Linked DNA regions of Arabidopsis thaliana. The protein of the gene in region 1 interacts with the protein of each later gene in a pairwise test. Each region holds a gene or a part of one and is shown on either strand. Other genes may lie near its edges.

The links.
Region 2: the proteins of MYB5 (region 1) and NAC015 interact in a two-hybrid assay, tested with the Arabidopsis thaliana proteins (one large-scale study listed by BioGRID).

The regions. Positions count from the first base shown.
Region 1 is NC_003074.8:4,418,059-4,422,476, reverse strand, and holds MYB5 (myb domain protein 5), read right to left. Parts: upstream 2,518-4,418; 5' UTR 2,239-2,517; coding exon 1,943-2,238; exon of another isoform or gene 1,488-1,942; coding exon 1,034-1,487; 3' UTR 726-1,033; downstream 1-725. Other genes in the region: MAPKKK7 (mitogen-activated protein kinase kinase kinase 7), read left to right, coding at 3,157-3,216, 3,388-3,522, 3,638-3,658, 3,821-3,894, 3,972-4,062, 4,129-4,212, 4,335-4,418. UniProt on the Arabidopsis thaliana protein: Transcription activator, when associated with BHLH002/EGL3/MYC146, BHLH012/MYC1 or BHLH042/TT8.
Region 2 is NC_003070.9:12,070,875-12,074,749, reverse strand, and holds NAC015 (NAC domain containing protein 15), read right to left. Parts: upstream 2,140-3,875; 5' UTR 2,010-2,139; coding exon 1,847-2,009; intron 1,758-1,846; coding exon 1,489-1,757; intron 1,403-1,488; coding exon 917-1,402; 3' UTR 785-916; downstream 1-784. Other genes in the region: AT1G33290 (P-loop containing nucleoside triphosphate hydrolases superfamily protein), read right to left, coding at 1-86, 178-255, 344-406, 473-625.

The DNA.
Region 1 (4,418 bases):
AAGTAAAAACTTATGTAAATTAAACGTCAATTATTCTAACCGCTAATGTTGGTCTATAATTCAATTTTCCTAGGCTTTAACTAAGGGTAGTTTATATGGCGTAAATGTGGGAACGTGTGAAGAGTCAATGTGAAAACGGCATGGTGTTCTTTTTGGTTTTAAGTAACGAATTCTAGAGGGAGAACGCACGGACGAGAGACTGTGATGAAGTAAGCATATATATACATAAAACTGTGTTAAACAATAAATCTGCATGCATAGGTAAAAAACTATATCTTCGACCAACATTGGTCTTACTATAAGATACGTAAATGTGAACTACGCAACAAACTTTGATTTTCGAACTTATAGTATATCCTCATCGATAAAAAGAACCTATAAGTTTCAACTTATATATACAACTCATGAATTGTGTCTGAAATACTTAAAACAAACATTTTTGAGTTTTAATTTAGTATTACATGAAAATAGAGTTTTATAACCTCAACTCGTGTGGTGACGCAAACACATAATAAACCTATAGGCAACATATATGTTTTTTTTTTCAAACAACATATATGTTATTATCGTACTTTAGTATGTAAACTGTCCGGAATATGTTTAATAGCTTATAAAGTTTAGTGTATTTTTGTTTTCAAGGATATGAAGTTTAACGTTAGCACTTAGCTAGCCTGTATTGTTTACATTAAATAAACTTCTTGAAGAAATTAAACTTAGAAACATATCTAGTACCATAATTTAAGATTGTGAACATGCTTATTAGTTATCTGTATTTGACAAAAGCTTACCACGAGTCTTATTTAACGATAGTGATGATTCATTTATTCGCAATAGATATATCCATATATATAAATAGAGGTTTGTGTACTCAGTTACACTCACAATTTATGGTTTTATAATAATCACACAAATCACCACAAAACAACTTAGTACACATATATGCCAACCTTCTAGATCGCATCTGTGACCCCTTCTTGAAGCATGGTAGATATAGAAGACATCAAGATTCGATCAACTATATATCTTCCTGTATCTAGTCATGTCCTAAGCTAGAAGACGACGCTCCAACAATCCCATCCTTACAATCATCCATCTGCAAAGGTTGAGATATTGGGATAATATTACCAAAAGGATCACCAACATCGTTGATGAGCGAATTAAGAAACGATGAGAACTTGTCGTCGTAGCAGAAACCAAAGTCTTCGTAGCCGTGTTCACCACCAAAGACATTGATACTGTTCTTGCTATCTCCATCCCCGCCATTAACAGTGGTATCATCAGTATGAGAACTAGAAATAGGCTCTAGAGGGTACTTTTGTCCACCGGAAACTTCTTCTTCTGGTTTATGGATGTTGTTTGCATCAAGAGGCTTGTGGGTTTGAGGATCAATTCCTTGCCTTAAAAGTTTCTTACGAAGATGAGTGTTCCAATAGTTCTTAATTTCATTATCAGTCCTTCCCGGTATCCTTCCCGCGATCAATGACCACCTGCATCACACATTAGAATTTCCATGAAGAACAAGAGCGGTTAATTACTAATATGGTTACAAAACAAGCTTGCATTTTTATCCTAGTAATCATAAACAATTTGAAAAAAGAATGAATGATCTCTAGAACTATTAATTTGCTCTAGAACCAGAATCAACTTAATTAAAATTATACTCTAAAGAAACTAGAGAAGGGATTAACCTTTTGTTCTATATAAATATCGAATCAAGAATCAAAGTATAATTGTTTTATATAGCTATAAGAAAAAATGGGATCAAGCTAAAATCAGAACCTTCATGTTTATGTGGAAGAAATAAAACCCTAGCTAGCTTAAACAAAAAAATAACTCTAGTGTATGGGTAGAGAGAGACACACACATACGTATGCATATAAACTAAACGATCTTGTATAGTTGAATACTTGACGAGATTTTTTTTTAATATCTATATATATACCTGTTGCCGAGGAGGCGGTGAAGACGGAGGATGAGATCTTCCTCGTCCGACGTAATTCCTCCACGTTTAACCGAGGGTCGGAGATAGTTCATCCACCGTAGACGACAGCTCTTTCCACATCTGAGTAAACCAGCTCTCTTAGGAAGCGATCGCCACCGTCCTTCACCTTCTTTCTTAATGAAGCTCACAAGAATCTCGTCTTCCTCCACCGTCCATGGTCCTCTCTTCATCCCCATCTTCGTGCAACACGGCGTTGTTTTCTTAGACACTGGCTTCTTCCCACCACATGACATCATCTCCGCCGTCTTCAACAAAGCTTTCTCTCTTTCCACTAGGGTTTCGTGATCTCTATGAGTTCTTCGATTGGTTGTTTTTTTCTTTTCTCAAAGTTTCTCTCTCTCCATTAGTCTGCTGATGTTACCAATGAACCTACCGACCTTTTCTCTCACGCGCTAGCTTCGGCGTTTGGTAATAATCTTCATTTGGTTTTTATTTCACCTGCGTGGTTTTTTTTTCCTTTCATTTTAAAGATTTTGCAGTAACAATCATATTGAAATCCAAATGGCTAATGTTATTACAATGCATAGGTTAGTTGCTTCTAGTTATTTATATTAAAGATTTGATACTACTATGAATTATAATTTGATTGGCTATAAACATCCGATTATACCAGCTCCTACAATTGAGAAAGTTATAACAAAATGGTTGATAATACATTAATGAATACTAACCACCTTAATTAAAATTGACACCAGTGAAAAAGCATTAAATATTTGGACCACCTTTTAAATAGATGATTAATCAGTAATTGGACAAAATGCTAGTATTTTTACAAATCGGGAAATAAAGGGGTGAAATCGTAAATAAATAAAAAGTATGGGCCACATAATAAAGAAGAATACAGGCGCATGAGAAATTAACATAATTACCTCTCCTTTATTACAGTTAGTCAATTTCTAACCCAAAACTTTTGTTTTGTTCTTTCCTTTTTCTTAATTTTGATTTTATTAAAATTTGGTCATGTATTTTCACTACTGTAATAGAGCTGGCATCTCTGATCTTTCAACTCCACCAATCTCGAAATCTTTTCTTTCAATTTTCTCAAAAAATTAAAACCCTAATTCTTATTGGATTCTGTTTCCTTGAGGAGCAATTGTGTTCTGTTCGCTGCATTTTTTTTGTTCTGCTGACGGAGGAAGAAGAAACGAGAAGAGATGGCGCGGCAAATGACGTCATCTCAGTTTCACAAATCAAAGACTCTCGACAACAAATATGTGAGCTTTCTTCTTCTCCGTAATTTCTGGGATTTGGGTTTTCTAATGGGTCTCCTTAAGATTTTAGCTTTAGTAATTTTATTGATTTTAAGCTTAAGTCTGGTGCTTTTTGCTGTTTTCTCTTCAATTTTGATTAATTTCAATGGTTGATCCTTGATATGTTGAGGGTAGATGCTGGGAGATGAAATTGGTAAAGGAGCTTATGGTCGAGTTTATAAAGGATTAGACTTGGAGAATGGTGACTTTGTGGCCATTAAACAAGTCTCTTTGGAAAATATTGTTCAAGAGGATCTTAACACCATTATGGTTTGTTATTTTCCTTATATCTATCTTCCTTATTTGTTCCTTACCACTGCTATGCTGACTAATCCTGGTTTTTACATGTGGATGATTCTTGTGCTGTTGGGATGAATTTCTCCAGCAAGAAATTGATCTTTTGAAGGTAGTTTTCTGAATTTTGTACTGTTTACAGAGTTGGGATCCTGATACTAAGTTTATGTCAAATCAATCACCTTCTGAATTTTGGCTTCTTCTCATGAATGGTTATGATGCTGGTTAAGATGCAGTTCTTCTCTATGTATTCTGAGATAATATTTCATTGCAGAACTTGAACCATAAAAACATTGTGAAGTATCTTGGGTCGTCGAAGACAAAGACTCACCTTCACATTATTTTGGAGTAAGTAGCTTTTTTTGTTTATTTTGGTCCACTCTGGACTATGGACGGGAAACTCAAGTTCAATTATGTGTTTGCAGGTACGTTGAGAATGGCTCTCTTGCAAACATTATTAAACCAAATAAATTTGGACCTTTCCCAGAATCTTTGGTGGCTGTTTACATTGCTCAGGTCTGTATACATCTTTCAAGTTGAGTTAAGTTTCGTTATGCATTGTGTACTAACTAGTGAATACAGGTCTTGGAAGGTTTGGTATATCTGCATGAGCAGGGTGTTATACACCGTGATATTAAGGGTGCAAATATTTTGACGACAAAGGAGGTGTGTTTTCTATATTATCTATTCTCAGACATGTCTTCAGTGTGTTTTTGTTTTGAGATCTGCTGGATAAGATTCTTCTAGGCTTTTTCCTTAGAAAGATACTTGACTACATCACACTTCAGGGTCTTGTGAAGCTTGCTGACTTTGGAGTTGCCACTAAACTTAACGAGGCTGATGTTAATACTCACTCGGTGGTTGGAACTCCT
Region 2 (3,875 bases), on another chromosome or scaffold:
TGCAATGTACCTTCTATTCCAGCTCTATTATCAGCTCCAAACTCACCTACAAGCTCTTGAGCATCCTCTAACTCTTCCATAGATACCTAAGCTAGTGTTTTCATGGATACAAGAATCCATATTTAAACACACAAACACACAACAGAGTAAAGACACAAACGTAATAATTGGTTTTACCTCGTTGTTCCTAAGATATTGACCTCCAGGTTCTCCGAGATAACGTGCTTCAGGTGGTCTTCCTAAATCCATTATGACCTAATCAAGGTTTCAAAATTCATCACCATTAAACTTTCTCATTTCAATTTTTAGCCTTTGAAATTGTTTTCACAAGAGTAACAATAACCTCTACGAGCTGGTTTCTTCTTGAATCGTTCAAGAGACGGTGACGAAGATCTTTTGGAAGAATCTATAAAGACGAAAGTGTGAGAAGAGAACAAAGACGAATAGAGAGGTGATTAAAAGTAAATTAGACCTCGAGAAATGCGCCGAGATTGTCGTCGACGATCATAGAGGAGGAGTCTGGAAGAGCAAGAGAAGCGACGGAGGAGGAAACCGGAAAACGCCGGCGAATTGGGGAAATAAGACGACAAGCTCCGCCGCCCCATGGGACGCAAACTCCGGCCATAGTTTCACAGCCCCCACCGAGCGGATAAGGAAGGCTCCCCAAAACCACCACCGTGTTATTAAAACTTTATGGGCCTTTGGGCCTATGGGCTTTTAAGCCTACATTAAATATCTTAACCTATCATTTATTTCGATACCTTGAAGAGGAAGGGAGACGAATGGATCAAAGAAATTCTTATTAACTTATCAGTGAAGCAATTCGCTTCCAATTACAGAATGAAATAAATGGATACATGTAATCAAAGAACTTACATACGAAGAGATCCATACATATAACATTATCAGCATCTGTTTAAAACAACCCAAGAAATCCATTTTCACCGCGCAATGAAAGCAGATTAGAAGGTGGCTGGACCGTGGAAGAAGTGTTGTTACCGTCATCTTCAAACCTCATCGCTCTAGACGAGTCCTCATGACTCACCATGTTACAATTCACTATTCCCCATTCACTTACTGCCTTGCACGTGCCAACCTCAACCCCTGATGGCTGACACGCTTGTTGGTACTCGCTTTCTCTTGGTAGAAGAGCCAATGAATAGTCATAGCCTATTGAAAGAGGCTTGTGATGAGGTTGAAACATTGGTGGTTGAGGATATTGATGAACACTAATCTCTTCAGGCTTGTTAAGCTCAAACATTGAGATTCCTTGGTAAGGGCTTTCTCTTCGGATGAAACTACGAGCTTCAAGCCTATTATTGCTGATGTTTGAGCCAACATCATTCCCTACTTTGAACAGATTTTTCTTCTTGAACACTCTACAAACAACCCATCCATCTTCCTGCATTATGTATAGATTGGTTTATTCAATTAAAAATCGACCGACTTTCACAAATTTTCTAATGAATAAGAGATATATATCCATACACAAGGGTCATCTTCAGTGTCTTCGATACGGTACTCGTGCATGATCCAATCTGTCTTTTGGCCATGAGGAGCTCTTCCTTTGTAGAATACAAGAGTCTTCCTCATGCCGATCTTCTTGTAAGAATTTCTTATGCATTTGTCACGTCCTGTCGCCTTCCAAAAACCGGAGTGGGTTGCACGGTTTGTCCTTGACCCTGTCGGATATTTCCTATCCTTGTGGCTGAAGAAATACCACTCATTTTGTGGCGTTGATCCTATTTTGCATCTATCTACAAAAACAAAAAAAAAATGCTTTTGTATAGTATCTAATATAACTAGAGGATTGGATCGTATATGTATTATTAATAAAAGAACGTACCTTGTAAATCCCACGGCTCAATCTTGTTCAAATCAACCTCTTTGATGACTTCCATCTCAAACTTTTCATAAGAAATCTTCTTCTTCAAGTAGTAATGAAGAAGTTCTTCGTCCGTTGGATGAAACCGAAAACCAGGCGGTACACCTCCGTTAGACGAACTCATTGTTCGGTTAATAAATGATCAATGTTTGTTTGAGTACAAAGCTAGATAGAATTACAATGATCTGCCTTTTGTTTCAAGCACTCTTCGTGTTCTAGGTTTATATAGACCTAGAGAAAATCCTAAGAGGGATTACACACACGTAATCGTCAACTCTATTATCACAAATTAAATAATCAAATCTTAATAGTATATGATGATGAAGAAGTTGACGGCCGGTGACAACGCCGCCGGAGAAGCTTAAAAAGCTATCGTGAAAGCTGAAATATCAAGACTCTTCCACAGCATTTAAGCCGTATTACACTTGCGTGAACGTTGACCCTAGCTAGTTTTTTATTCATCTATTAAACGAATGATCCCGGTGAATTTGGAAAACAAAATTATAATTATCGTTATGTCATGGTATTAATAACGAATCCGTGTTGATTTTAATTGCTCCGTAAGCAAAGGTTTTCGTCAATGAAAAAAAATACATATGGGGAACTCCAATTCTTATTATACGGTCCACATTTGTGTATATGTGTGAAGTTTGGTTAGCAATTAATATGAATCTAATTAAAATCGACTAGTTTTATTCGATAGTTAACTTTAAAAAAGGGCATGCAGTGGACAATGGGCCAATTGACCAATTGTGTTAGTGACATTTACGATATATATTTTCTGATTTTTTTTTTTGTTTGTCTAACTTTCAAGCATTCAATCTGTTTAATTCCTTGATTCATTGTTCATTGACTTAAGCAACCAATATATAAATGGATTTATGAACTCAATGAAAATGGGATTTGAATTTTGAGTTAGTTTAACAAGCGGACGAGTAAGTAGGTAAATCTCATGCATGCATCGCACATGGGGAGACTTGTGGACCTGTGGTGATGGTATTGGTATATGTACGTTGACATACGATTAATGTACTTCTAACCAATTATATTACGTTCGTGAGTAAGGTGAATTTTGATTATTTATTTTAAGGGTGTTAAACTTATAAGATACAACGGATGATGATGATCTACGTTGTGTGCAACAAAATTTCTGTATGTTTTCTACTTTTCCAATAATATCGCGAATTGTGTTGCATTCTTCCATTTATTTCAGTGCATTTTGGTAATTTCCAATAAATTAAGTTATATTTAGGATGAAAGTTTGGTTATCTCGATAGGATCGGATCAGATCGGATCGATTTAATGGAAATCTTAGATTAAAGTTTGGTTATATTGATAAAATCACCGGACCGGTTTAATAGAAATTTTAGGTTTAGGTTTGGTTATCTTGATAAGATCATCGGGCCGGTTTAATAGAAATCTTAGATTTTGATTTAAGAACTAATGGTAAGAAGATTTTTTTTTCATTAATAGTATATTAAAACTCTAGATTTAAGCTGGCGGAAATCAAATTGTCTTGTCGAAAATGGTAACTCCAGTAAAAGATGTGGTGTGATTTAGAGAATGTAATACCTAATATCAATGATGCGCCTTTTATCAAGTCATTCCTCGCTAGTGAAGTAGAGTTAGCATATTTCATTCTAGGTAATAAGATAACCGCAATTGGAGCATTCGAGTCATGTCGTCTAAATTAGACTCAGAAGATAAAGACTTTGGAATCGATTTATTTGATGAAAATCTAAGTAACACAAGTAAGTTTTCGATTGTACTTCAATTTACTTAGTATTTCATTCTTGATAATTTTTCAACAATATTTTTTTTTTATGAATGTTTGCAATCAGCAGATCTGGAGATCCTTGGTCGAATGGATGTTTTTTGTTCAGGATCCTCAAAATGATGGCAGTACCGTCTTGTTGCTTGGAGATGATATTGGTTACAAACCTATTTTGACTAAATGCACGGCTAATAATATCCAAACTATACTCATGTA